Oreochromis niloticus: one gene and its partners. The protein of the gene in region 1 interacts with the protein of each later gene in a pairwise test. Links are inferred from orthologs where the notes say so. Each region holds a gene or a part of one and is shown in the gene's direction. Other genes may lie near its edges. The genes, in order: lmo4b, nfyc, rbbp8 and grhl2b.

What was found.
Region 2: the proteins of lmo4b (region 1) and nfyc interact in binary tests that used the Homo sapiens proteins (3 or more experiments, as listed by UniProt). The link is inferred for Oreochromis niloticus from reciprocal best matches to the Homo sapiens genes LMO4 and NFYC.
Region 3: the proteins of lmo4b (region 1) and rbbp8 interact in binary tests that used the Homo sapiens proteins (3 or more experiments, as listed by UniProt). The link is inferred for Oreochromis niloticus from reciprocal best matches to the Homo sapiens genes LMO4 and RBBP8.
Region 4: the proteins of lmo4b (region 1) and grhl2b interact in binary tests that used the Homo sapiens proteins (3 or more experiments, as listed by UniProt). The two-hybrid records come from large-scale screens. The link is inferred for Oreochromis niloticus from reciprocal best matches to the Homo sapiens genes LMO4 and GRHL2.

The regions. Positions count from the first base shown.
Region 1 is NC_031986.2:31,964,655-31,971,763, reverse strand, and holds the start of lmo4b (LIM domain transcription factor LMO4b), read left to right. Parts: upstream 1-4,095; 5' UTR 4,096-4,553; intron 4,554-5,909; 5' UTR 5,910-5,914; coding exon 5,915-6,150; intron 6,151-7,109. UniProt on the Homo sapiens protein: Transcription cofactor. Plays a role in establishing motor neuron identity, in concert with MNX1, acting, at least in part, to disrupt LDB1-LHX3 complexes thereby negatively modulating interneuron genes in motor neurons.
Region 2 is NC_031985.2:22,027,900-22,035,745, reverse strand, and holds the start of nfyc (nuclear transcription factor Y subunit gamma), read left to right. Parts: upstream 1-4,828; 5' UTR 4,829-4,977; intron 4,978-7,846. Other genes in the region: uncharacterized protein si:ch211-13c6.2, read left to right, coding at 1-59, 159-278, 397-442, 560-1,475, 1,572-1,680, 1,760-1,825, 1,946-2,047, 2,151-2,382 and 1 more. UniProt on the Homo sapiens protein: Component of the sequence-specific heterotrimeric transcription factor (NF-Y) which specifically recognizes a 5'-CCAAT-3' box motif found in the promoters of its target genes.
Region 3 is NC_031974.2:26,341,204-26,348,325, forward strand, and holds the start of rbbp8 (DNA endonuclease RBBP8), read left to right. Parts: upstream 1-4,103; 5' UTR 4,104-4,241; coding exon 4,242-4,244; intron 4,245-4,266; exon of another isoform or gene 4,267-4,349; intron 4,350-4,707; coding exon 4,708-4,834; intron 4,835-4,945; coding exon 4,946-4,988; intron 4,989-5,084; coding exon 5,085-5,180; intron 5,181-5,500; coding exon 5,501-5,592; intron 5,593-5,809; coding exon 5,810-5,882; intron 5,883-7,110; coding exon 7,111-7,122. Other genes in the region: fam168b (myelin-associated neurite-outgrowth inhibitor), read left to right, coding at 860-929, 1,034-1,117, 1,425-1,567, 1,653-1,848, 1,932-2,044. UniProt on the Homo sapiens protein: Endonuclease that cooperates with the MRE11-RAD50-NBN (MRN) complex in DNA-end resection, the first step of double-strand break (DSB) repair through the homologous recombination (HR) pathway.
Region 4 is NC_031985.2:19,830,353-19,837,420, forward strand, and holds the start of grhl2b (grainyhead-like transcription factor 2b), read left to right. Parts: upstream 1-4,061; 5' UTR 4,062-4,402; coding exon 4,403-4,422; intron 4,423-4,430; exon of another isoform or gene 4,431-4,717; intron 4,718-6,133; coding exon 6,134-6,305; intron 6,306-6,818; coding exon 6,819-6,886; intron 6,887-7,068. UniProt on the Homo sapiens protein: Transcription factor playing an important role in primary neurulation and in epithelial development. Binds directly to the consensus DNA sequence 5'-AACCGGTT-3' acting as an activator and repressor on distinct target genes.

The DNA.
Region 1 (7,109 bases):
ATATTTGGCATTCAAACTGGGGAAGCCAGGAATCAAACCACTAACCTTCCAATCAGTGGATGACCTGCTCCACCACCTGAGCTACAGCCACCCCTACATATGACTGATGCATTATCCCCACTTCCTTTCACTTTACAAAAGAGAAGCTACACTGTTATGGAAATGAACACGTGTGCTGCCATTCTGCTCCTGTGACCAGATTCTGTGCAGTAGTGACTCGAGGGTGGAAAACACTGCCTGACTTTGAGTGGTCAGTAAGAATGCAAAATTGCCATATAAATCTTGGGCTATTTACTACTGAGTACCTCATACTTGGCCAAATGTGAGCACAGATGTGCTATGACATCCTCAGTTAAAGTTGAATTAAAAACGTTTGGTGTTTACTTACAAATAACCCATTTGTAAATTATTTTGGTACCAAAAATAAGTAAACATCAGAAACAAACAATACTATATTGTCTAGTATAGTCACATGAATATCATGCATGATTGTGCTATGATCTGCAAACTCTTCTTTAGCTTTGATTATGCCACATGTGCCAAACTCAAGACCATGGAGCCAAATTTGTCCCTTTGCAAAATGTTATCTAATCCATATATTATTTTAGATTCTTAATAAAATTTTAAGAAAAATTCATGATGAAAAATCTATTTCTTTTACTTATGAAGCTTAACTCATGTGTATGAGATACACCTGTTCAGCTGCTTGTTAATACAAATATATAATCTGCCAGTCACATGGCAGCAACAAATTGCATTTAGGCATTGTTAAGATGACCTGCTGAAGTTCAGAATCTGAGAGAATATGGAAAAATGGTGATTTAAGTGACTTGATGTAACATTGTTGTTGATGCCAGATGGGCTGGTCTGAGTATTTCAGAAAGTGCTGATCTGCTGGGATTTTCCCACATAACCATCTCTAGGGTTTATAGAGAATGGTCTGAGAAAATACGAGCAGCAGTTCACTGGGTGAAAATGCTGTGTTGATGCCAGAGGTCAGAGGACAACTACCAGACTTCTTTGAGCTGACAGGAAAGGAACAGTAAGTCAAAATCCACACACCGAACAACACATTGAACCTTGAAGCAGATGGCCTACAGCAGCAGAAGACCACACCTGGTGCAACTCCTATCAACTAAGAGCAGGAAATTGAGCCTACAATTCACATGGGCATTCTCAACATTGGATTTTAGAAGACTGGAAAAACGATGCCTAGTCAGATGAGCCTCGGTTTCTGTTGCCACTTTCAAGTGGTGGCGTCAGAATTTGGCATGAACAGCATGGAAGCACAGATCCATCCTGCCTTGTATCAACATTTCAGGCTGCCGGCGGTGGTGTGGGGAATATTTCTTGGAATACTAGTACCAGCTCAGCATCATTTAAACACCATAGTCTGTCTGAGTATTGCTGCTGACCATGTGCATTCCTTTATGACCACAGTGTACCCATTTTCTGATCGCAACATGTCACAAACCTCAGATCATTTCAAACTGGCTACTTGAACATTACAATGAGCTCATAATACTCACATGGTCTCCACAGTCACCAGATCTAAATCCAGTAGAGGTTCTTTGGGACGGTGTGCAGATTCCCATCATGGAAAGGCAAAGGAGCACTCTTGTGGCCTGGGTGAAGTATGTGGATCAAACTGTACATGAGAAGGCTATGCAGGGCACGCATTTTTGATCGAATTAAAGAATTTGAAGAAAATATATATATATTGCCCTTGATGAAATTGACTTTGACAGCCCTGGATTATATAATTATAATAACTTTAACATTTTGCAAACCTTTGCTATTTCCCCAGATGCACAAAGTTGTGTGTATTGGTGTGTTGTGTCTGATCCAGAAAAAAGCACTTTAGATGTTCAGGAAATTGGCATCAATCAGTTTATCACTTTCAGAAGCATCCTGAATCAACATGTTTTACAGAGAATGTGGACTTTAAGTGTTCCTTTAATGCCTCTTTAGGTAAGTAACCTTTTACTCATTTAGCAGATTTCACTCAGAGATCTTTGTGCCACGCTGTGTGCAGTCCTAGAGCAGCTTCTCTGTATCTGCAGATAATCTGAACTCTAATCTTCCCTGATCAGTTGGCTCAGCTAAACGAACATCATTCTCTTTTACAGACAACATATGCAGTAAAGCGAGGGCAACGTCGTATCGCAAATGGCGGACGAGGCCACATGTAGCTGCGCGATCTCAGAATGTGAGCCTGAGAGAAAGTTGGAGTGACCTGGAGGTTTTGTGTAAACTCTCAGGCTGAAACCGGCCTCTCTGCGGCTCAGTGTCACGTCAATACACGAGAACACAGAGCGAATCCCAGGCTGAAGTTAACCACCGTGCTCAATGCGGCTCTCCTGCTTTTTCCCACAGGACAAGCAGCTTCATTATGAAGCACCGTGGTCTCCTTTTCATCTCAGTGAGATCACCCCTGTGGGGAGTATCAACACTGTGAGCCACATCTGACGCTCTCTTGTCCCTGTTTAAACACTGAAATAGTGTTCAATCATATTGTTGTTGGCTGCTTTCTTCTTTTTTTTTGTCATAATGCAGCTGCTTGGAAACTGCCACAGGACTCAAAGATCTCAGCGGAGAAAGGAGGTGATCAATTTCTGAGGGAACCCCCACCTACCCAGCCACCCACTCTTCTCTCCCTCCTTGTCTCCCTGACCCCTCCACCTCCTCCTCACTTCAACTAGCCATAATTATTTTGCAAAAGAGCTCCAGAAAAAGAACACGCAGAGTAATTTCTCTTGCCCAGTTATGAAAAGCTCATTAAAAAAGGCCCGGAACAAACAAAGCTTTTCCTGTGAGGCCTCTTTTCAAATTCATTTCATAATTTTCCTCTGTTTTAATCATTTATATCAATTAATCATTCCTTGGTGGAAAAGACATTCTTTGCAATCTTCCGTGGGGTTTTTTTGTTCTGCTGAGTGAGAGGCTTGATGAGAATGTCAGGAGAATGTGGCTCAAACCAAGGCGGAGTAGCACTGGCTTTGCCAAAAGGGAAATCAGCTTGATGCAGCGCGATCTCTTCGGAGCTGCAGGAATAATTAAACAATTAAAGTCAAGAAAAAGATCATCTTTATACATCTGACGTCTTTCTAATGAAGCCAGGGGCATCTTATAAGAGAGCCGTTTTGTCATGTAAAACCACTCAGCCTGCTGAATCTCAAACAGGGAAACTTTTCTCCAATAGCAACTGTTTTTGGTTAAACTGAAGACGTCACTTGTTTGCAGCTTTTCTTTACAAGGAGAGCAGCCCCCCCGCCTCTCTGTCGTGGTGTCGCCACCATATACATTTCATTTTTATTAAAAAGCGTCACAGTTACCTTCAGTTGATGGGATCTCTGATGTGTCACGTGATGGTGGAAAAACTCAAACTGAAGGAATTAAAAGGATCTCAGCCAAATCAGGTCTTGCAGATTAGCCTTAATAGGTGTTGAAACCAATGACCCGAGGCTTAATGAGGTTGTAAACGACAGCAGGCCTCGCTGCGATTTTTTTCAGTGACAGACGATGGCGCCACTACGCAGCTATTAGGGGGGCTTGATATTTCCCAGAGGTTGGAGTCACCCTCGGTAAACTAAGTAGTTATTGAATGTCAACTAATTAAAGTCGGGCGTGAGATGAATGCAGCCTACAGGATGTTGCTATGCAGCTTTCAGTAGTCCTGACAATGGAGACAGTTTAATCTTTATATTATTACAATGCTTCATATCCAATCTCTCCATGTCCGAGTATTATGGACGTTTGGAAGAGATAATATATTTATCACGGTGATATTGAAGCTCCTTAAACAGGACACTGAGTTTATTCTACGGATTTTCTTTGGCGTATAAATCCGCTCTAATCTGGTCTCTGCCCCTGATTTGGCTTGTATACATTGGACTGCTGCGTGTCTCTTCTCTCCGGTCCATCTCACCTCCGTTTCCATCCTTCTCTGTCTGCGTGTCCGAGTCAGTCTCGCCTCCCTCTGATTGGCCAGAATTGTTATTCCTCCTAAATGGACCGCGCGCTGATTGGCTGCCGAGGCCCTTTCGTCACGCGGCTGAAGGGGCTTTTTTACTGGAGGTTTCTTCCTGTCAGCGACACATGTAGAACAAGCAGCTAACGGGACCCAGAGACCAGAGCAGAGGACAGTCAATTACAGCTTCTCTGCCTGCCTCCGTGTTTCTGTTTTTCCTCCCTCCCTCTTCTCCACGCACTTCCCCAGCTCTGTGGACTCAACGGCATGCGCAGACCTGTAATTACGGCTTGTGATGGACTCGTTTTTGTTCCAGCGAGAAAAAGAGCACTAAAAGCGGCAGCAGCAGTTAAACGGGAAGCATCCAGTGGAAATACTATCTGATAACTCCATTTGCTTGCTGAAGAGCCGAGCTCGAGGGTTTCGCTGCCGCGCGGAGCTGGAGGCCGACGACCGCGCTCGGTGGTGCGTCCGCTTTCTACCTGTACTTTTTTGGGGTACTGTTGTTGTAGCCTACCTGTTCGCCTACCTGCCATTCAAGCCATCAACTTTACAGCCATTACCCTGAAAGGAGACAAACGAGGTGGGTGTTTGCCGCTGGTACAGCTGTTCTGTGTGTTTGCGCTGTATATATATTTTTATATGTATATATGCTACCTGTAATTGTCCGTAGTTTTCAGAGTGGAAACAGTCGGTTTTGAGTCCTCCCGTGTCTATTTTAAGAATGCCTGCGCTCAGATGTGACAGCCGACATTACACTGGTCTTTTTTTTAAGCACTTAGCTTGTAGTAATTGAGATGTGAAGCTGCATTTCTTTTATTTTCTATTTCAAAAACAAAATCAGGCAGCAGGCAGCGGACAGAAGCTTTTAGCACATGGCTGTCTGATATGTTCCCCCCCCTCCGTCTCTCTCGCTCCCTCTTCTATTTCCATGACTTGGTCTCCAAATTGCTTGCCCGTGTAATTACTTGAGTTAGCCCATTTAAGTTAAAAGCCACCCCCCTCCTCTTCCCCTCCCCGTCCCCTCCATCCCTCAGCGGAAAAAAAGGAAACTCCTCTGAATGAAACTTGATGATGGCCCCGTCTTGTTTATCCGGGAGTCACTTTCAGGTCGGCTTTTTTGATTCATCTCCTTTTAGATTTAATCAGCACTAAGGTACGCTGTGGTTTGTCCCTAAGAGCCATCGCTAATGGGCTTACTGAATGCTTTTCTCTGTGCACCCCCCAGCCTCCCTCTTCCTAACTCTAATTAGCCTACCTGTCTTTCAACAAAGATTTGGCTTTATCCAGGCGAGGCTGCCTGACCAAATTGGAGAGGATTACATTTGAAAGAGCCCACATTAATTTGGTGGGTGAAACAAATGCCTGCATTTCAGTAGATTAGAACATTTAACATCATTACAGCGTGTGCACATCGCTGTATCAGGGCTGTGGTGTAGATGCGTGATCATATACTTGGCTGAGGTCAAAGGCTCATGCAGCATCACAACTAATGTGCCAAACATCAGCCTCTCTTTACTCGCTCCCTTGAGTTTTGCTGTGGACATCACCTCTTTGCATAGTGAGGAATTGTGCGCCATTTAGAAATTCTTAGGACAGCTCAACAAAGGCCCGTGCTGTGTAATTGTTCCTCTGGCCCCACAGTGTTATCAGTGAATAGACATTCATCACAAGAGGTCTGATGAAGCAACAGCGTAGAGATCAAGGGCAGATTAATTCACTAAGTGTCTTGTGGTTGTCTTGTAGCAGAGATCGGGCTTCGCAGCTGCAGATACAACAGTATGTTCAAACAGCTGATAACTGATCAGTTATGACAAATGTGTCAACTCATAGCTGTGTAAGTCCTGACCCTTGTGTGCACTTAAGCAGTCCTTAAGTGTAAAAGAAAAAAAAGAAGTCTGAACAGCAACCTGTCATGGTTTCTTCTGTGTGTTCTCAGGTACGATGGTGAATCCCGGAGGCAGCAGCCAGCCACCACCGGTGGGCACAGGTTCTCTGTCCTGGAAGCGGTGCGCCGGCTGCGGGGGCAAAATTGCGGACCGTTTCCTCCTTTACACCATGGACAGCTACTGGCACAGCCGATGCCTCAAGTGCTCCTGCTGCCAGGCCCAGCTGGGTGAGATCGGCACATCGTGCTACACAAAAAGTGGCATGATCCTCTGTAGAAACGACTACATCAGGTGAGGAAATCACCAGGTTGTGTGTTCAGTTTTCCGTATTTTGCTGTTGCAGCCTTACTGAGCAAGTCAGATCGTTTAAACATCTTGCATGAATTTAAAAGGAAAAACTGTGCTTCTCATAGCCCGTAGAACTTTTCTTCTGGATTATATTAAGCTGTGATATTAAATCAAGTTAAAAGCAGGACTAAGCTGATGTAGATCTGTCATGGTCATGCAACCGTCCGCAAAGTTTGGTGCATTTCTGCACGACATGTGTCTCAAATTGTACTAACGTCATCAGTGCTCATTAAGGCGTCCTGGTTGAAGGCTCTTTGGCCTGCCCTGAAAGACGCCAAACGTGGCGCCATGTTGACAGAGCACAAAGCAAAAGGAGAGAGCCTCTGCAGGTCATAACGCGGTCTGTCCTGTTTTACAGTCAACAAAAGAACAGAAAACTGGTCCTAAATGACTTGAGTTAGCTCTGCAAGAGACACAAACAGGATCTGTGTTCAGCGAAGGCTGTTTTATTCTAATTTTTTTAATACAGTGGAAAAAGGATCATTTAATTAGCAAAGAGAGCCTTTTTAAATATTCAAGTAGGTGTGCCAGACACCCAACCAGAGCTTGTTGATGACACTCATTCTGGTCATGTTGAGCAGTCTTAAGTGACGAGAGAAGGTGCAGTTTACTGAAAGTTCACATGCATCCTTGACTCACCCTCATGTGCTAGACTGGTATTGATTTTTAAGCCAATCAATTAGCCATTTGCTAAACTTGAGTTTCTATTCATGCAAGACAGTCAGAGATTCCGTTTTTATTGTTATATCATAGAAATGCATGCTCATATTCTAATGGATGGAACCGCACTCCAGTTAACATACAACGCTGCTATCAAATCTGCACGGATAATTCAAAATCTAAAGTGCGCCTGTGCGCTCTCACACCCACCTCATAAAAAGGATGGGGAAGTCAATGGGGTA
Region 2 (7,846 bases), on another chromosome or scaffold:
CTGTCCTTGCAGAAATGGTCTGTCATGTGATTGGACGCAAACACAGGCAGAAATATGTGGTAAAGCATTCAGAGCATTACTTAAAACCTTCTTTGTTATTCTGTTTTCCTTTATAATAAGATGTTAAAGCAAAGAGAGATCACATTCCCTTTCTGTAGGAATTGAAGCGGCCTGACTTGGTGACCTGGGATAGACCCTCTGTACAAACCCTCGGGGGGAAGATCATGCGCGCCAAAGCAGAAATAATAGAGAGACAGGATGGTAGAGGGACTCCAAAGGTATGCCAGATGAATTACCCAAATTACACACCATATTTTACATTCTTCTAAAATTCTATACATTTTGTTACATACAGTAAATGTTTATTATTCTTGTTTTGTTCTTGTTTTTTTTCAGTCATTGTTCAAAAAGGGGAACGAGAGTAGATCAAACAGCTCAAGAGGTAACTTGATTGATATTAAACATGGTTAAAAAGTAATTTTAAAATACAAGGAAAGGTTACAGACACATTGGGAAAACGTTTGGTTGTATTTTTCTCTAATTATTACTTGATTATTAGCTTTCCAAAGGCAGAGGCAAAACAGGGAGCAGACGAACCCACAAGATTTGCCACCACTCCTACCCGAACTCAAGGACTATCACCGAAGGAAGCATGCCTCAAGTTACCCAAACGCATCTGCATTTCCTCCGAATGAACCTAACATGAACGTAGACAGGCGCAGCCAGCGGGAGAACAGGCTTAGCAATGAGCGCACCAGAGATGAACCGCGAAGGTCGGATTTCAGGGAAGGCCATGCGTACAGAGAAGGCTACATGGACTCTGATTATCGTCATCAGTATGAAGAGGGATATGGTGGAGATTCACAAAGAAGTTTGGCACTTGAGCGAGGTGATGCTCCCAAGTATGATTTTAGGGAGGATTTGCCTCGTGGCCTTGGTCAGTCTGACTATTACCCTGAGGGGGCACCTCCTTATAGAAGAGCCTATCCAGAAAGAGAGTCTGTTCAGGATTTCCACTCTGAGGATGTCAGGGGTGGGAACGGTCGTTCTGAGTATTCACCCTCCCAGGCCATGTACCCTGAAGGTGATAAACTGCGGTGGTCCCTGGAGAGGGAAGCTGATAGGCACGACGGTATGAACAAAGCAGGTAGACAGGGATCAAGTGAACCAGAAGCCAGGAGGAGGAACTTCTCTCCATCTATGGAGGGGGACCGATCACGTGACAATTTGTTCAATATAATTCAAGATTATCGTCATGAGTTGAGAGAGGCGCATCAAGATGAGGCAGTTGATAGGAGAGCTGGAGGCCCAGCCTCACAGAGACACATGGATGTTGGCAGAACCATTTCTAACATCCCAGAGCCATTCAGGCGGTTCCTGAAAGGAGGCGCCGAAGATGATGTTCACGGTAAAAGGAAAAGAAAGAGCCGCTTCTCTGATGCTACTCCAGAGGAAGTGGAAGGGACAAGGGAAATGTAAGTGTAAAAATTGTAGTTGTTTTTTTTTTTTGGAAAGTGTTGTGGGCTGCTTTTATTTATTTTTTTTTTTACATGTGTGATTGCTGCTTTCAGGTATGGGGATAATTATGGATCTCCAAATCCAAAGTTTGGAGGTGACGCAAGGCCAGGTAGTGCACCAATGAGTGGAGGACAATTTTCAGACCTCTACAGAGAACCACAGGTAGTTTATTTTAACATCACAGTAGAGTAATGTCCAGTAAAACAAATCTTTATTGACGCAAGACCTTTTGCTTTTTTAGGGTCCACATCATCCTGAAATGAACCAAAGAGGAGGCTCTGAGTCGGAGGGCGTCTTTGATATGCTGGTAAGATAATTAGTCGTTATTGGCGACTTGCACATGTTTGTGAGTCATGTTTTTGTTATGCAACTATTCACTCAGTTCTCAGTGTGTTGTTTTTTTTTTTCCCCTTTCACATTTTCTTAGAGCAACATTGAAATTGAGAATGCTGAAGAGGCTGACTTCTTGAAAAGTAAACTTTGCAACCTGCTTAAAGAATTCAAAACGAAAAAGATGGAGAAAGCTGTGGTATGAGTCATTCTGCACACCGCCTGTCTTTTTAATATAATATTAGTAAAAGAACACAAAGACTTTGCTTATATTAACAAAACGTTTGGTTTTGTCATGGTAGCAGAACAGCCACGGTCGAGAAGGGATCCCCAGAAACTACAGCAACATGGAGCTGGACCCTCGACAGCCGCCGTTCGAGAGGAACATGAGAGATGATTCGCACCACAGACAGTCAGAAGACCTCGACTTCAGAGACTGGAGGCAGCGTGAGCATCTTCCAGAGGAGCGGCACAATGTTTATCCCCCCCCTGCACACGAAGATTCCAGATACTCAAAAAGAGGCCGCTTTGAAGGTATAGTACATCACAGTGCAGTTTATTTAAACCCATTAGGGTTCAATAGTCTTATATAAAAGTTAGAGATATCAATAAAAATAACACAAGCATAATTTTCTTGAAAAATATTAGGCAAAAATAAGTATGGTAGGTTTTAAATCAATATACAGCTCAAAATAAAGGCAGACAGTAGAAGGCCACTCAGTAGTTGCTTCTTTAAAGACCCTTTCATCCATTAGTAGAGCTGCTTGTACCAGAAAGGTAGGGTAGATCAGTTTCTATAATACCTGCAAAGTTTTCCCTAATGTTCAACTCAGCAAGGCTCTCAGTTCATCCAAACCAGAGCTTCGACCAGCTGACGTAATTTTCTCCATGGTATCCCTCGGGTGATCTGTGGGATTTGGGTCAGGGCTCTGGGAGGGCCCCTCTATTAGAAAATATTCTTTCAGCAGGCAGCTGGTAGGCTGTGAATTATTGTCCTGCTGAAAGATCCTCTTCTGTGGCTTAAATCATCATTTGGCTGCTTTTTTCATTTCAAAATCCTTTCTATATCTCATCAGTTAAAAACGAATTTATCTGCTCAGTTGCAGGCTGTGATGTTCCCAGCTCTGTGCTTTCAAGTCAGTTCCACATGAACATGTGTCTGTAGCAGAATAACCACAGGTATAGTTCATCACATTAACAACAGGCATGGTTCAGGTCTGATAAACAGGAGAGGGAGGGGTATAATCACGCCTTTTGTCTGGAATTGTGCTGTATGTGTTGTTGTATGGATCGAATGCCAATTTATTGACGTATTAATAAAATAACCTTATGAACTTTGAGGTTTAAATGAAAATTGATGGGATTTTCTTCTTTGAATGTATTTTGAGTTTTGTTGTGGTATCTTTTAGGATAGTTTAGTTCAATTTATGTATAATGAGGCATAGTTTGCAAAGGTGTCTAAATTCACCTTTTGATTTTATGTAATAAATGAATTTGATTGCATCGTTAAATAAGATAATAAACAATAAGTTGTATATTCAGCTTCCCTGTGTCAGAGGAAGTGTGCCTGATTCCACTTTCTTTCATGTAATTCAATTTCATTCCTCTTTTTGTTTTTGTTTTTTGTTTTTTCAGAGGAATCTGGAGCTCCTCATACAAACTGCTTAGATGAGCCGCCCTATTATCCTGAAAGGTTTCCAGAATCCCTGCCGTCTCGTGACTACCAGCCTCCTGTTGGAGAGTTTTTCGACTCTCACTCTTCTGCACCTCCCCTCCACATGGAACAAGAATCCAGGATGCCCAGAGGACCCCGGTACTCTAACAACCTGGACAAAATCACCTCCGCCCTCCTGGAACTTGTGGCAAGGAAATAAATGTCATCACTGCAATCTCCATAATAGTCATGTATTATAATGCAGTGTTTTAAGGGTAAAGCTTAGATTTTAAAATGTGATTTGGGTTTAAATTTCTTTCCCTTCATTTTTCTTTCTTTCTGTTTTTTTTTTTTTTTGTTGTTGTTTGTGTTGGATATTTGCAAAGACCTTGGTTGATCAAATGTTGACGTCTGGTGTAAGAATTAAAACACTTGTCTACTGCAGTTGTAATCATTTCATTTTTTTCAAATTCCTTACTGACCAGCAGCCAGAAAAGTAATACTCTTATTGCCATCATTGTATTTCATATTTTCAGTGAATTTATTTTGAATTAACTGAATTAATTTGCAATGATTTGAGCTTCGTGGTGCTTTGTCATGCTGGCTGCAGCCATTAGAAGATGGGAACACTGGTTATAAAGGGAAGGGCTTTCATATTTATGCCAAATTCTGAACCTACCATCTGAATGTTGCAGCAGAAAATGAGACTCTGAGGAAAACACTGACTGGTCTACAATCTTCTGTTGCCCAATTTTGCTTAGCCTGGGCAAATTGTAGCCTCAGTTTCCTGTTCTTAGCTGAGACAAGTGGCACCCAATGTGATCTTCTGCAGCTAAAGCTCATCTACTTCAAGGTTGGACGTGTTGTGCATTAAGAAATACGCTGCTGCATAATTTGTGTTTAATGAGTGGTTATTTGAGTGACTGATGCCTTCCTCTAAGCTTGAAACAGTCTGTTCTCTGACCACTGACATCAACAAGGCATTTTCTCTCAGAGAACTCACTGGATCTATATATTTTTTGGTTGACTGTGAAGATCTCAGTTGATCAGCAGTTTCTGAAGTATTCAGACCAGCAACCATGCCTCATTCAAAGTCAATGAAATCACCTTTTTCCCCATTCCAGTGCTCAGTTTGAACTTCAGCGGTTCATATATAATGCATATATGCTGTATATATCTGTGTATGTATATATAAAATGTATTTGTTTTTTCCAAGTCACTTTGCTAATTTTACTATAAATGAGGACTTGGAGATATATAGACTACCTGAGCAATTAACTGTTTAGTGAATCAAATAATAATAAAAAACAAACAAACAAAAAACCTCACACTGACGCTTTCTCGGGGAACGTAACCTCTACGTCATCGCGTTGGACTCTTTCCGGTTCGAATAGCAGCCATCTTGTTTCCCCTTGCAGGCTAAATAAAATAAATAATACGCTGAGCTGGACTTCACTTCGAACCCGATAAAGAAAGTGAGTAAGAAATTAAAATTCATTTATCTGTGGAGTGTTTACATGAAAGTTGTCCGTGTTGGCTGGAGGTAGCTGTAATTACTTCGCTTCTTTTCATTTGCTGTTCTTGACCAATAGACGATTGTTTTGGAAGATGAACATAGGCGCCATTTCCCTCCCCGCTCTCTGAGGCGCTTATTGGTGGCCCGCTGAAAGGATCACGGACGCTCAGGAAACTGATGTTTTGTGTCCACCATTTTGGCTCATATCTGAGCGACTGTCAGACACACTGGCTATTTGCGCCTGACCCCGAATGGCGCCAGTTGCAGAACGAACTTAGCCCTAAAAACCTTGATTGGTGGAATCTAGTCCGAGGTTTGATTGGTCTGAAGGACAGATCCAAACGTTGTCTTTATTGGTTAGACTGTTTCTTCCTAGCATTGCAAACCTTTGCAAACTTTCATATGTTGGCAGGGCTCGCTGTCAGCTGGTAATTAAAATTACACACGCTGAGCTGTACAGCTCTCATCAGTCTGCATCCCCAGCCAGCTAACATTAACTCCACTAACGTTAGCATAAAGTCACGGTCAGCAGTGACCATCCTATTAGCTAGTATGCTGTATGTGTCTTCCTACGCCTGCTCCGTTAAGCATTTCACAGTGGGTACCACAGCACTACAGTGCATCTCAGTATTTTGTAGTTTATTTAGCATCCTTTGTGTGACGAATATATACCGGCTTCCGTATGCTAGCGTTGAATATAGCATTGAATTCCCTGGCTCCTTTTAGCCGCTGTGTTGAACCCAAACACCTTATAATGTAGCGACTATTTAAAGTCAACCTCCGTGCTAAATGCTGGGGTGTTAAAGCGCAAAGCTGCTCTACTCCTCGTGTGAATTCCCTGTGATGACTATATCATGCCTTTGTTTAAACTATTCATTACTTGGAAAAAAAAAATCTTGCACACAATGTTTAATTAATGAATACAGCTGTATTTTCAACCATACTAACCAAAGTCACACAACATGAAGATGCACCAAGTTAATATTTAGTTTAGTTATGCTTTAAACCTAACAGATATTCACCCCATTCTTACTACGACCTGTGTGCAGAAAACAATACAGTCTCTTTGTTGTGTTCCCACGAATATAAGAACTTAATAAAGAATAGGAGAGCTTAATCAGCTCTTATCAGCGGGACAAAAACGGTGTGCAACTTAGTATACTTTATCTCTCTAGAGGAGGTATGCTTTACGTCATCATTTGTGTGTAGGTTTAATTGAGCAGTTGAGGTCATATTTAAAAAGCCTGGGATATTAGAGCACCTTAGACAGCTTAAGTAAGCTGTGTGCAAGTCGCCCAGCTTACCATGTCGTTTTGCAGGTGTTCATGTGTTTTTCCATGTTTGCAGGTGAATGCATGGCTTGGCCTGGCTACCCTCAGGGTAGCTGCTGTGTTTATGAAACCCAACGTCTGGTTGGTGCATGTTTATCTCTAAACAGCGTCAGAGAAAGCAAACATGTTCCTGCTATGGGCAGTACAGGTCATGGGAAGGTCTCATTTCTGTGGTGACCTTGCCAGGTGTCATTACTGAGGCATTTTGGGTAGACTGAATGCAGCTACAGAGAGCTGTTCGAGCATGGCAACAGCAGTGGAGAGATTAGTCTTTGTGCAGCTCTGCTCTAATCATTAACTGGATGTCTGTAGTACCTGCTCTAGTCCCCATGCTCCTCACAAAAATAGTAAAGGGAACATTTAGCTTTGTTTCTCTTGAGTCTATCTTGTGCTCTCGCCCTCCCTCCACTTGTTCTACCCCTCCCTTCCTGTAGCAGCTCTCCTCTCTGTCCTTCTCCATCCTTCCGGTCCCCACTCCACCCCCCACCCCGGTTTTTCATTGATAGGGCAGTTTATTATCTTTCCTTGACTCTTGTGTAGCTGGATGTGTTCCTCTCTACAGTCTGTATTTTTTATTTTTTTATTAAAGCTTAACCTTCGGGCTGCACCGCCACTTGGTCGTATCTCAGCAGTTTACTCTCTAAGCTTTTAACAGGTTTGCCCATTAGAAGTAGAAGCATTCACGTCGTAGGTGGTGCATTAAACATCATGAGATGTGCACATGAGTACTAAAATCACTCTCTTGAGTTGCACACTAAAGGTTTTTGTGTCGAAAGTATGCACATTTAAGCAATGGAGAATTAACAAGAAGGACATTGTGTGACATTGCTGACGTGGTTTTTTTTGATGACGTTTCCATTGTGGAAGTTGCTGTGAGCACAGTTTTTGGGGTCAAGACAACATTGTCTTTGTTTATGGGTTTTCACCCATATCTCTTAAGTCTTGTTTATCCACAAATAGGATGAGAGTCAAATGAACTCTTTCTTTTTTTCTTTTTCTTTTTTCTCTCTGCCTTCTTCCACAACTGCTATCTAGTCAGCTGATTGTTCCATTTTGTACAAAGGCTCTCTATTGATTTGTTTTGCACAGAATAGTTTATTGTGTATATTTGATTGACACTGTGTAGGGTGTCATGGGATTTATAGTGGTTGCATTAAGTTGCCTCACTAAATGTTCACATGAGTCAAAAAATTTGTTGAATGGAGTTTGTCTAGCTAATTAATATTCTGAATACATAATGCATGACCAAGCATCTAGATATATTTGTTCCTCTGTTTGAATAATATTAAGAGTGATGTGAATCTCATTGTTAGAGGTAGGCTGGCTGGAGGCTAGATGTTTTCGGTGTGTACCTGTGACTGTGAGCAAGGATAACTGAGAATGCAAGGACAAAATGTGCATGTGTGTGGGTGTGCATGTAAGACCGTGCACAGGTATGAGACAGGGAGTCTGCTTAGTATGCTTTTGTACTTTAAATCATGTGGATGCAACATGCGG
Region 3 (7,122 bases), on another chromosome or scaffold:
GTGGAGTAACATCTCTGAGGAATGTTTATAGCACCTTGTTAAATTTAAGGTTTGCCCCGAACAACAGAATGGCATCAAAAATGCAAAATCAAAGGTCTAGCTGAGTGTATTAATTTTCCAAAAATGTCTTTCACAAACTGCTCACGAACATTGTGTAGAGACTATTTGCGCTCGTCTCTCTTTCTGCTTTAGACAGTGCTGAGAGCATTGGGAACCATGTTGACACCATTTTTAAAAATAGTGCAAGCACCTTCTCTGTGTTATGTTTAATATCAAACAGAATATATAGTAATGCCAATACAACTGTAATAGGTGCATGTCAGCACACAGTATCAGAAAATGCTTATTAGTCTGGTCTTCGCTTTGTTGTTACCGTGACCTTGCAAGGTCATCTCATGCAGACCGCTGTCAGTCTTCACTGAGGGAGAACGGTTATTATTTGTGGTCCCTTTTAGCTGTGTCGTTAGGTAACAGTGGTAGTTTGGCACATGTGATGAAATATAAATGTAATGAAATGTGACGAAGCTACAGTAACAGCAGTCTAATAAATGGACAGTATGTCAAAGTCTAAGCTCCAAAGAACACACACCAAACCAGTTTACATGCTTAAGATTTCTGAAAGCCAAACTGAAGGTTTTGTTTAAACCTTCTGAGGAATCTTTTCACAATCACTGTGCTGTTTCTGGAACAACAGGGTCACAATCGACAACAACAGAAAACTTCATATTAGCATGTCCATCCTTTCCACAAGAGCTCTGCTGGCTCACAGATCAGCAGTTGATTTCCACGCATGATGTTTGCATCGTTCCAACCTGTTTGTGCTTCTCTTATTTACAGCATCTGCAATTAGACAGCCACAATGAACCCAGTATACAGCCCTGCACCAACAGGGGTCCCCTTTACCAACACTAAGGGTATAGGTTATCCAGGTAACCTGAAGCATAGTGGTTTAAGAAACAAGCATAATTACAAGAAAATATCTCCCAGCATTGAGAATACTGTTATATTCTTGTTTTGTTTCTGGTTTTGGCAGCTGGATTTCCTCTAGGATACGCAGCAGCTGCTCCAGTGTACACTCCCAACGTCTACGCAGGAGCAAACCCAGGCTTCCCTAATGGTGAGAAGAAAGTAACGCTGAAATCTGCTGGAGTTTATCTGATAGGTCTTGAAACACATCTTCCTGATGCACTTCAAAAGAGTCAAACGGTTACAGCGGACTTCTTTTATTTGAATTAATTATAAATATAACGTAATAAAGAATAAAAGTTCCAAAGAGACTCTTAATAGCCCCAAAAAGTGTGTGTGCTTCTTTTCTATGAGGGTCCTGTTTTACTGAGCTGCACAGCCAGTGTTTCTACGCAGACTTCAGCTATTTTGTCCCAAAGCAAACGGCACTAATGTGAGCCGTCTTCCTCCCTCTCCAGGCTATGCTCCAAGCGCTCCTTTCAAAGTGTCCTGCTCTCCCAGCACAGGGACCGTCCCACCATACTCCTCCTCCCCAAACCCCTACCCAACTGCTGTGTACCCTGTCAGGAGCACCTACCCCCAACAGAACCCTTATGCACAGGTCAGTCCTCGCTTTTAATAACACGCCGTCTCTCTTCATCCTGGTTCAATGCTTGAGCTGTAACGTGTGGTTGTTTGTCCACCAGGCACTAATACCTTCACAACAACAAGGCCCTTACTACACACAGGCTCTGTATGCTCCACCGCCTCATGTCATCCATCACACGACAGTGGTCCAGCCCAATGGGATGCCTGCAGCAATGTATGCTCCGCCTATCCCTCCTCGCAACAATGGTGTTGCCATGGGCATGGTAGCCGGCACCACTATGGCCATGTCAGCTGGTGAGCTGCAGCGGTTTATTGATTCTTATCCAGGATACAAATGTGTTCGATTTGTAGTTATACCTGTGGCTTTCACTTCTCAGGAACTTTGTTGACAACTCCATCGCCAGCGCCCGTCGCTCCCCACCCAGTCACGATGCCCACATATCGGCCTCCTGGCACACCCAGCTACAGCTACGTGCCCCCGCAGTGGTGAAGAGAGAGAAGCGTGAGTATGTTTTAAAAGGATCACAAGTTTGGTCAAAGGTGCAGATTAAAGGTTTATGTTTACACCCGGTGTTCTCTCTGCAGGTCCGGAAGATGGTAGATATGCATTCACACTCCAGTGTTTTTCTCTCGTGGTGACGACCTGCCCCGCCCTGGCAGCGTCCGCTACCAATTCTTCTTCTTCCAGCATAATGTGAATCTAAAACCCAACTACATAGAGTCCCATTTGGATAAGCAGGGGGTGACAAATAGGCCCATCCCCACAACCCCTATTAATGGAATAAGGCTGCATTCCATACCCCCACGCCCCCACCCCCTCAGCGCCAGCACCTCTACAAACCTGCTGCATATCTCACGTCAAACTGCAAAGCCTCCATGCAAACTCTATGTGGACTCTCATGCAGGTTTTTATAGCTTAAATTCTTATGTAGTGAAAAGGGAGTTTGGAATAGTTTTTTTTTTCCTTTAATTTGGGGGATTAAATATGATGTTGAATGCATGTGTATATATAGATTTACAAAGTAATGCTAGCTCAATTCTCCCTGCTGTGACAGATGCAAATTCAATAAAAGGCACAAATCCAAAGGAACTTAGAAAAAAAGAGTAATAATCTGCAATGCTGAATCACCAGTGACTATGTCTTAAATGTGAAAGAAAAAAAAGACAAGAAACGTTTATTCATGCAAAAACATACCTGCGCCGTCCATCGCGGGCCAAACTGTACTATTTTTCACCGCTTTGTGTTTAGGTAAGTGGTTTTTATCGTTTTCTTTCAGTGATGCAGTGTTTGCATAATGTCTTACCATTTTTGTATTGTAGGAACAAAAGATGGGACTTTGAGTTTGTGCCTCTGTGACTGGTGGCCAATCCAACACTTTTACTTTTTCTGGCCTGTTAAACTTACTTTTTTTTTCATTTAAACAAATGGTGTTTCAGTTTCTTTCTCCCCCCCCCCCCAAAAGTCTGAAGCTGCTCCTGCTTGGGTGATATATGATGTATTCACTTATTTTAGCCAGAAGTGTTCTTGGTGGGGAACAAGTATAGGAAGTTATTAGAAGTCAATTGCACCCATTTAATAAGAGTGGATGAGCAGGAAGTGTGTGTGTGTGTCTGTGTGCGCGTGTGTGTGTGAAAACGGGACTCGAACGGAAACCATTCTGAATGGTGCCATACAGTGCAACATGCTTAGAATTTTAGACTTACATGTCACTCTAATGAATTTACTCTTAGGCAGATTTGAAGCACTACATCATTAAATCACCGCTAAATGTGGACATGTTAGGGCACCGTAATGATATTAAACTCCATTTGTGAATAGCACTACTGAATGAAGGCACTAATTCCAAACGGTTTGTAAAAGATATTTGACCTTTTCCGACATCGCTCGCTGTCTTACCTCAAGTCTCCAGGCTAAAAATCCACCAATGTCACTGTTTCAGACATGCTTTTCTATGTTGCCTCGGTCACCTCAGTTAAACATGTTTTGTAAATGTTATTTTTGTGACTTTGGTTGCTGTTTTGTATTCTAAAGAAAGACCAAAAATAAAAACAAATATAAGAATAACCTGTGTTGTGCATGTCTTCTCGCTGGGTGTGTTGGGGCAGCCAGAAATGATGACAAAACAAAGAAGAACATGAAACAAAATATATAATATGTTGGACGATTCAAACCGGTTTGAAAGGCAATATTTGGCATGACCATTGTTTTTTTACGCCCACATGGCATGCCAAATTTTCAGGTAATGGCTCTTTGGGAATCACCTTGTCGGTGGAAAAAATTTCTATTTCAAACCTGGAACTCAAAATATAAAGAAACACTCAGGACTTTTACACAGTACTGATTATGATATTGTACTCTAGTCCCCATGGCTCTGCTCTATATAGTATTATAGATTTTAGACATTTTATTCTTAAAGTTACTCATTGGTAATTGAGGTCAAGTCAAACAACTTTCTGTAACTTAATTTCATAAAACAAAATTTTAACTATTATCATTATTATTGTTGTTGTTAATTGTTTAGGGTTAGAGAAGTAGCAGTATAAACCACTGGCTGCTGTTTAACAGAGGATGGCGTCAAAGCTTTCCTACCTAAATTGGAAAACGAAGAAGAAGATTTCCCAGGTTGCAGTTCGGCGCGCGAATTTGGATTTTGTTATGGTCAAGCCGTAGACTGTATCGCTCAAACATGGTACTGTACTGTTAAACTATTTTCTCTTTGACAGAATATCCTAGTTTTTATTCTTTAGACGTGTCGGTGTAAGTCTGAGTCTGTTCGCGGCTGTCTTCTCATGAGGTCGTGTCATTAAGTCTAAACTTTGCATTTATTTCTTAATTGTAGTCTAAGTGGTTACTGGGAGAACAAGCCAAAAGACAGAGCTGAAGTTTTATTAATGCTTGTTCTAAAAGCCAATAAATAATAAGTAGTAAATATGTGAGTGTTGAGGGGGTGAAAGTAATTTTCTTTTTAGCTAATTAGCACTGAGTTTATGCGCGCCGCCATGTAGCAAAGCTAAAGTAGTCAAACATTTAACTTCCCGTGCTCACATTGACAAATGCGAATTAACATTAAGAAACACTAAAGTGAGCTGAAAGAAGGAATTTATTATTGTGAGGCAAACATGAAAACAAAGACTGCTGATTTGCGTTGGCAGGAAGAGAGCAGAGAGGCGCTTACAGAGAGTTTTGGAAACGACAGGAGCAGCGGGACAGCCAAATCAGCTGATCGCTTTCAAGACTTGTGGAGGCAGCTTGGAGAGTGTCACCAAAATGCACTTCAGGGTAACTGACAGTTTGATCTCACCACGTTCATGCTGGCTTTCATGTCTATAATCCGAAGTTCAGAAGCTAAATGACAACACATGTCATCATTGCACTTGTTGCTGTTTCTAGAATTGGAAGCAAAAGTAAGCAAGCTGAAAAAGGAACGTTGCCTGTGAGTATGTTGTGTCACTTTGTGTTTAAGGAGAAGGACACTGGAGTCTTAGTAAATTATTTATGAAGGGTAAAGTGATGTGTTTGTCCTCTACAGAGATGCGCAGAGGCTTGAAGTGTTTTACAATCGCAACCAGCAGCTCAAGGAGCAAAATAAAAACCTGCAGGATGACATGGCTCTCCTGGAGGAAAGGTAAATTACCCAAAGATGAATGCACTCCACTGTTATTCCCTTTGTAGCAAATGTTTTCGTTTGTTTGTTTGGAATAGATGTGTCTTGTTGAACCTCTGTTACATTTTAACTATAACTTAGGATGGGAGAGCTGCAGTTGGGCACCGATGTGGGATTTCTAATTAACTGGAGCAACATGATACCAAAGACAAGAATAGCCTTTTCTGATTCATTGCATGGATGCTTCAGATTCCCCGCAGACTGAAAGTTCACAGCATTTAGTGTCTTGCATTAAAACAATATGAAATATAAAGATTGCCAGCTGTGCTTTCCCTTTCCAGGCTTCGAGCAGCAGAGTGTGATCGATGCTCCATCTTAGAGGAGAACCTGAAAAACAGTCAGCAGCAGAATCTGCATCTTATCGAGAAACTTAGTGAGTGTTTTCATTTCAGTGTCCAACCATTAATAGCCCTCCCTGATGTGCATACACATATGCAGATGCAATCTTTCACAACAATAGTATGTTATATAATATGACGACTAATATACTAGAATGACTGTGGGGAAAAAACAAAACAACATTTCTTTAAGATTCTCAGTTTGTTTAAGAACAGAGAAAAACATTTTCTTTGCAAACCTTTTTTCCTCAGAAAATGAAAGAAACCTGCTGGAGGATGAAAACGATAAGCTGCGAGCTGAGCTGCAAAAACTGAAGAGTTCTCGGTAAGCTGTGTTGCATTCATGTTTTTGTTCACAAGAAAAATATGAGAAATGTTTTAAAAGGTTAAAGCAATAACTTGAAGTACTTTCAAGTTTATCAGTATCTCGCATCATGGAGGAAGTTTGACTACTCTTTACAGACTTGCATTGAGGTCTGGATTTTGACCGGGCCATTGCACAACACCCTGACTCTTCTGTTTTTCAGCCACTCTGTTGAATGTAGATTTGCTGGTTTGATTCAGATCATTGTCTTGTTGCATGAGCCAGTTATTGTCAAGCTTTAGCTGTCAGATGGATGACTTATACTTTGGTATACAGAGGAGCTCTAGGATGACTTGGTCTCATCTGTTCCAGAGGTCTTGTGGTTTGTTTATGAGCGTAAGCTAGCTATACTGTCATGTTCTTTTTAGAGAGAAGCAGCTTTCTCCTGAAAATGAGTCATCCCTGTTCATCTTTTTCTGACTGTACTGTCATGAACTTTAACATTCACACACTGAGACCTGTGGAGTCTGAGATGTAACCCCTGCTTTCTTATTTTATTGGGGGGTTTTTTGGGTTTTTTTTACAGTTTCTGAGCATTGTGCAGTCTACTCATGAAGGTGTCTCCTGACATTGATACGTCTGTCTCACAGGGACTGTTCTTGATTTGGTTAGATATTGTGAACAGGTTTTTCTTAGCCAATCATCCACTGCGCTCATGTACTTAAGATGTCTTCAGTAGTCTTTCATGTGTTTTGGTGTTGCCGAGCCTGGTTTGTGCATTTATTCTTTTTACAAATGCAAGTTTATTCTACTGCTCCGATAGGTTTTTGTTTTTATGGCTTCTTCCATTTGCGCCCAGATTTTAATTAATTAATTAATTTTTTTAACCTCATATTAAAAGTTTCACTGAAAAGTTACTAAATAGATTTTAAATATTTAAAATGGGGGGCTGTGTTATGATTCCTGCAAATAGCTGTAAACAGTACAATACTTTTGTTAAACCTCTTGAATTAAAACTTCTATAAAAATGTGTGTCACCTACATTGGTCAGACATTTCAGGAGTGAACAATACATTTTCCCAAGCTGCCACTCAGTATTATTATTTTTACGTGTTTATAAGCTTTTTGGTGCTAACAGCCCCAGTTTCTTCTGTGGCCCCTTGGGAAAATAAATTTCCCTCCTACAGGTTCGGTAAGTTTTAAAGTTTCAGTTTCCAGTGAAGCACTACACGTGTGCTTTTCTTTTCAGGTCTGAATCCAA
Region 4 (7,068 bases), on another chromosome or scaffold:
AGTAGAGCGCTGGTTATTTACAGAGTTATCAGAAATTCAGCGGATCGATTCGTGCCTCCTCCAGCTCACACACTGAAGTATCTTTTGAGCAAGAGCCCCAAATTTCCCCTAAAGCATCCATCAAGGAGTGAATGTTACCAGAAGTGCTCACACAAAGAGAAAAGTGCTGTATGAATGTTTGGGTGATTGGGTGAATGTGACTTGTAGCAGGAAGCACTTTGTGTGCTCGAATTGAGTAGAAAGGCACTGTGTCAGTACCACTGTAAAGCTTTGTTTTATTACTAAGAAAAATTGGGCTTAAGGCTGGTTGGACTGCCTGCATGTGCTGCAGACCGTCAGCGCTGCAATGTTGGAGAAATTGTGGTTTCTAAATTACCTCAAGGATCTTTTCTGTTGTGGCTCTGCAGTGTGGTGGTTTACACAGTCACACATTCACCTAATGAGTGAAAATGCCCCGATTGGTGTCTGGTGTCTGTGAGGTGTCTGGTGTCAAAATCTGCCAAATCAAAAATGCAGACCTACCTGCTCTGGTGACCCTTGGTGAATATGGGAGCAACTTAAAGCAGTAGTTTGTATGTCATTAGGCAAGCTGCAGAGGTTGCCAGCCTATCACACAAAGACAAAGAAACACTTCAAATTAGAATCACCAGTTAACCAGAGAAGTCTCTCAGTGGATTGTATGAGGGAAACCCATGCGTGCAGACACAGGGAGGACATGCAAGAAGGCCAGAGCTGGCATCAATGACACTCACTGCATCAGCAGCACAGAGACACCTGGATAGCCTCCAGCCCCATGAACCCCAACTTTTCTGTAGTAGGATTTGCAAAAAAACCAAACCAAACACAACACCTGATAATCATTTCATCACATTTCTAATAGTTCATACCAATAATAAATATGCATTGAGCCAATATTGGCTCGTTACACTGACAAAGTCAATCCATCCATTTTCTTAACTGCTTATTCAATTTTGGGTGGCACCGTGTCCAGTGTGTACCCTTTAGGCCTATGATCCCCTCCAAACCTTGAACTGGATAACCAGAAGAAGCTTAATGGTTGTCATCGGTATTAATTCTGACACCAAAGCTAATATTATTCGAGTACCCATGCTGCAGTCAACCTTATCCTCTATGTTTGACTTCATTCATGTTCAAGCATGTGTTTGTAACCCCTCATGTCATTCATCCATCCCCTCCCTCCACCTCCTCTTGATCTAACCTCCATCTGAATGTCAACATCCCCCCTCCTACATGCACACATACCCACACCTCTGTCTCCTTCTCAGCTGTGGGCTTCTCAACTCAAACAGGTAGACTCAGACACAAAATCCCGGCCAAGTCCAGGCAAGCTGCTACTCCTGCGAAAAAACGCCTGGAATGCAGGATACACCTTTCACCTCACAGTTGGACACACACACACACACACACACACACACACACAAACACACACGAAAAGTATGTGGTGGCTCGTGGCCCCTGACTTTCCAGTCTTGCTCTCGCCTGCTTGTGGCAGCTTGTACGTTAGCCCTCGCACGATTTCTGCTGTCATCTCGCCCCATGGCTGAGATTCCAGCAGGCGAGAGTCATGTAGGGGAAGGTAAAGATAAGAGAAAAGCTCATGTACAACCATTATTTTGATCTCACTCTGTTTTCTGTGCAGCGTTAATGAGTCGTGCATGGATTATGAGTCAACACAGACTTGGGTGCATTTAGGTAAAAGCTGCTCTTGTGTAATGTAACAGGCTTCGCTGTAATTTTGCACCTCTGTGGTGCTGTTTAATCTATTTCTCCTCTAATCACATGCATCTTAAAATACAGCAATAGAGCTGGAAGGAGGTAGGCAACAGAGCTGAATAGAACATTTTTATTTCCTTCCCTTTTGTCTCTCTGTTGCTCTTTCGCTCAGTCTGTGTGTTGTTAGAAGAAAGGGACCCCACCTGTATTTATCTAGCAGTCCCATTTACACACACACGTACACAGAGAGAGCTCAGCCAAGGCCCAGGTGCTCTGTAAAACAAATTGGACAAGGGAGGATAGTAATCACCAGCAGGGCACGCAAACACATGCATCCTCAGACGCACAAACAGGAACACACATGCAAGCACACACACTGCTGACGGTTTAACTGAATCTGAAACGTAATTTTTGGATTTCCATATAAAGGCGCCCGAAAGCATTCATAAGCAAAAGGCTGGCACGTTGTCATGCAAACACTTCCATCAGACCAGTTTGGAAACGTCTCCCCAGCCCTTTCTCAAGCTCCAACAAACCTCAGGTGCAGACGTAGACAACTGCTCGGGTTCGAAGGGGATAAAACGTCGTTTGTTTCCCCCTGAAATGCAAAGGAGAAAACAAAGGCAGCAGAAGAATTTCACTTTTTATACGCTTACTTAAATACTAATACCACTAATATGATATAATAACATATAGATATACATTCATTTAAACTTCTCTTTGAGTAAAATAAAAGAGTTTTATACTTTAAGCTGCATCAGTAATGCTGATTAAACAGAATCACAGGTCTGCTGGGATTTTCTTTATATATGAGCAACACTCAGCACAGAGTCACTTTCTGCCAGTTTATTACCAGTTTTTATGGAAATTTCCAAAAATGGTAAATGGTATAACTCAATGAGAGGTTTAAAAAAAATACAGGAAAATTAACAGTAAAAAAGTAGCATGGATAAATAAAAATGCTTCAAACTGGTGCACTGAACTGCGTTTTTACAGATTTTGACTGTGCACAGCACTGCAGTTTTTTGTGGGTAAATATGCACATTTTAAATAAAGCAACACTCCTTAATCCTGCGACTATAAGTATACGATACGATGTAACAATGTAAATTAAATTATACTCAATTTTTTTGTTGTAAAAGCAAATTATGGTGAGGTTACTGTGAACATGTTTTACAGTCTTTGTAACTCAGTAACTCTGTGAGAGCTAAGAAAAAGGAAAAAAGGTGGAAATAAAAGGAAATCATTTTTGATGCATGTCAGTTGGATTCATATGTTTGACTCTCTGACACTCAGGACTTAGTATAGGGTTAGATTACCTGTCATCATTCTCCTTTACTTAGACTTCATGGTATTAAATACATTAATGCAATACACATTAAAACTCATTTCCAGGGGGTCATAACCTAAAAGAAAGAAGCTTTAAATCTGTTTACAGCCTCATATTTTTAAAATCTTAAACTATTTTACCATTTATACAGCTTTCAAAAATAGCATATATCAGAATTGTACTCAAATAATTAATTTCCTACCACTTATCCTGTTTTTGTTTCTCTGTGACCAAACAAGTCGACATATTGTTTATATACTGAGTAATACAGTATAGTTTTATTTGCTGTGTCTCTGCTGTGTGAATGGACACTTGTGTCCATCAACCATCTGCATTAAAAAAAAGAAAAATGAAGTTTTATATTCAGCAATTACATATTGTTTGTGCCCCACCCGACCACTTCCACAGTCATTCTATGACACACACACACACACACTGTTTGCTCTGGCAGGGTAATCCCAAACACTGGGATCTCCTTATACAATAGATTCATTAAGGGGACAATGGCATTGTGTCAGCTAATGACAGGGCTCCTCCCTGCCTTCGCTCTGCTCTGAGATTACCTGGAACACACACACACACACACACACACACACACACACACACACACACACGAGTCTCTATTGAAATCTGAGGGGCCAGAAGTAAAATCAGCCGATGGGGGAATGAAAGACAGCCTGAGGCAGTGAGTGGCCAGTTTGAGGCTGTGCAGTCATGCCTCGAGTCCTCCTGTTTCAAACATAACCAATCATAACAGAATCAAATCAAATCATATCTGAAGCCTTAAAAATCCGTAAATCTAATCTGTTTCCTGTGTGTCTCCGTTTTCTGTGTTACTGCGGCGTCTTCGCTTCGCTCGCAGGTGAGGTGGGCCTCTACCTGCCCCCAGCAGCCAATCGGATCTCCTCTCCCCTCGACAGCAGCCAATCAGCGGGCAGACTCGCCCTCAGCCTCAATTGTTCGACTGTGAAAGAATTCAGAGCCACAAAGTTGACCGGCTGCCATTAAAAGAGAGTCAAGGCAAATATCGCAATGCGCCGCAGTATGACACGCTGGTGTTTGTCACCTTAATCTACGTGTAAAGTGAGCGAGAGAGACGCAGAGGGATTGGCTGCTGCCTTACCTGCCCAGGTGGAAGGAGCGGAGGAGAGGCAAGCCAAACACAAACACAGGGAGAGAGAGAGAGGAGAGAGGGAGAGAGGGGCAGGGAGAAAAGAAGCGGGGCGAGAAAAAGTCGACTTACCTGTAGCCCAACTTCTGGCAACTCACTCTCACTCTATTACCTGCTCCGACTTGAAAGTCCAGTTTCACAAGGAAGAATCGTAGAGGAAGCTAAATATGTCACAGGAGACAGACAAGTAAGTGATCGAGCCAGAGGAGAGGATCTTTGCTGATTTCTACATGCGGGGGGGAGAAAGTTGTTCAAGTGTTTTCTTTTGAGTCTGTTATTAAAACGAAGCTGCTTTAAACCCGGGATTACCTTTGTTTAGGACACACACACTTTTTTAAAAAAAGAAAAAGAAATAAGGGGGGGGTGTAAAATGGGGCTCGCGTACCGGTTTCGCTCCGTTTGGACTGTTTATGACAGATATGAAGCTGTTCTGGGGCCTGGAGGAGAAGCTGACAAGCTTGGCGCCGTGGATTTCATTAGAGGTGAATTCGCCATTTTTGACTAATGGGGAAAACCTTCAGGGTGCAAGGACTGTTTTTTTTTTTAACAATTTAATTAAAAATATACTTTTTTGTGCTGCTTTTGGATATCATTGCATCGTTTCCCTCCCTCCTCCTATTTAAGGCCTAGAGAGCGTGTTGGATCTGCCTGTGAATGGGAATAGTTTGTAAAGCCTGCTGGCCTCTTCTGTTGTTTTCTAACGGGATATACAAACTCCTTTATTTATTAACAATTTTTAAAGAAATCAACCTTTGGACTGCAGCGCTAAAATTTTAATAGAGTCGGAAGGACTTTGCTCTTGAAAAATAAAAATAAAAATTGTTATTTTTTCATTAACAATGATAATAATATTGATAATGCAGACCAGATGTTACAGGTGTCCTGCTTTCTCCAAATCCAGTGTAATTTAAATTGTAAAATTTCATAGTTTCTAATAGTGTTATAACAGGGATTAACTGCATTAATAATAATCTTATGCCTTATTTCATTTACCTAGATCATTCCTTACACGATAATCAATTATTATTTCATCCATTATCATCATTATTAAAAGTATATGTTGCAACAAATATGGCTGTCAAAGTGTGGCTGCCAGTAGTTGATTTTCCAGTCTCCCTGCAGAGCTGCTGTCTCCCGCATCAGTGGAAGCAGCAGGTGTCTGCCTCTATTTTGACACACAGCGTTAACATTTACTCAAACCCAGCAGATTAAAGCTCCAAAACTCCTAAACATCGCTCAGACGTCTGTTTTACGGCGACCCTCTTTCACAATACAAGCTCGATCCAAAGGCAGGAGCATTATTTATTTGCAGCCGGGTAAAGAAAGCATGCCATCGTGCGTTTTTGTGTGATACAATATAAGGAAGACACAGTGGAGCTTCTCTTTTGCAGTTAGCCCTTTATTTTCTGTATAAAGGTTTGCATCACTGGTCGGAGGAGGGACGAATGTCAAATAGTGAAAGCGGATCTTTCATACACTTACACAGAGATGCATGAAAGAAAAAATCCTCATTAATATTTCCTGTGTAAATGTCAAGAAGTGTGTTGAAGCCACAAACATTTTAGCCAAATGAAAAATGGCCACTGTCAGACATGACAGGAGCATTTCATTGTGCAAGTTGCCACATTCAGAGCCTTCCCTGTGATTGGCTGAGCTCAGAGAGATGTTGTGGCAACACTGTGTGTATTTAACTGGTCTCTGATCTGATCTTAAGTGAGCCTAAAGAGCAAAGAGGAAAACACACACAGAAAAACAGACAGGCGTGAACGCTGCTCTAGCTAATCAGTTCATCCATCACAGTTCAGCCTGGAAAATAACAGTTGTCATGTTTTTTTGATCGCCTACCAAAAAAAACTGTACATGTTTAAAACAGTGTTTAAATCCCTGTGCTTCTCAAGCAAACGTCTGGTAGTGGTGGTCCCCAACGAGAGGAGGGCGTACACCAGCGAGGATGAGGCGTGGCGGTCATACCTGGAGAACCCGCTGACAGCCGCCACCAAGGCGATGATGAGCATCAACGGAGACGAGGACAGTGCCAACGCCCTGGGTCTGCTCTACGACTACTACAAGGTGCCCAAATCCCTCATAAAGAGCATCTGTTGTCCTTCGCCTTTGATTCTTTCATGCATCTGTACCATTAATGAAACATTCAACATAGCAAAAGTGATAATGAACTCGGTGTGTGTGCAAGTACGCCCTGTCTGAAAGCTCTAAACACTCTGTTTTAGACAGTTTTTCTACTGCTTGACGTTTATGATGTCACTGAGATCAGATATCCCCAATATGGCCATCTCAGCCACTCACCTGCTGATCAGAGGTTTTTGTTTGTGAGGGGCAGCCAATCAGAGGCTCCTCCCCTCTTTTTTTAATTAAAATGTAGCAGCATATTAATTAACATATTTTGGACATTTCCTTTCTATTTAAATTTGTCAAATAAATGAATTCAGATCACAATGACAACTGTTTTAACTGAACCGACTGAAACATTACACAGCACAGAGGTCTGACGTAAACAGGTGACAGGTCACAGCTCCCTTATAGGGCTGACCGAGAGTGACTCGACTGTCCTCCTTTTCCCTGTAGGTGCCCAAAGACAAGAGACTTCTGCAACTTTCCAAAGCCACTGAAATTACAGAGGAACAGGAGAAGAGGTCAGTGAACACTCGTCTTGCTCGAAACACCATGAAAATATGCCCAACACGGTGGTCGACGTTTCCAGCAGCAGGTGGAAACAAACAAGGGCGCTCAGTGCAATAAAAGTAGAAAGTTAAAAAGATGAAAACTGTTTAATACGAAAGGCCATTTCTTCAAAAATTGCTTTCCGTTACATTAG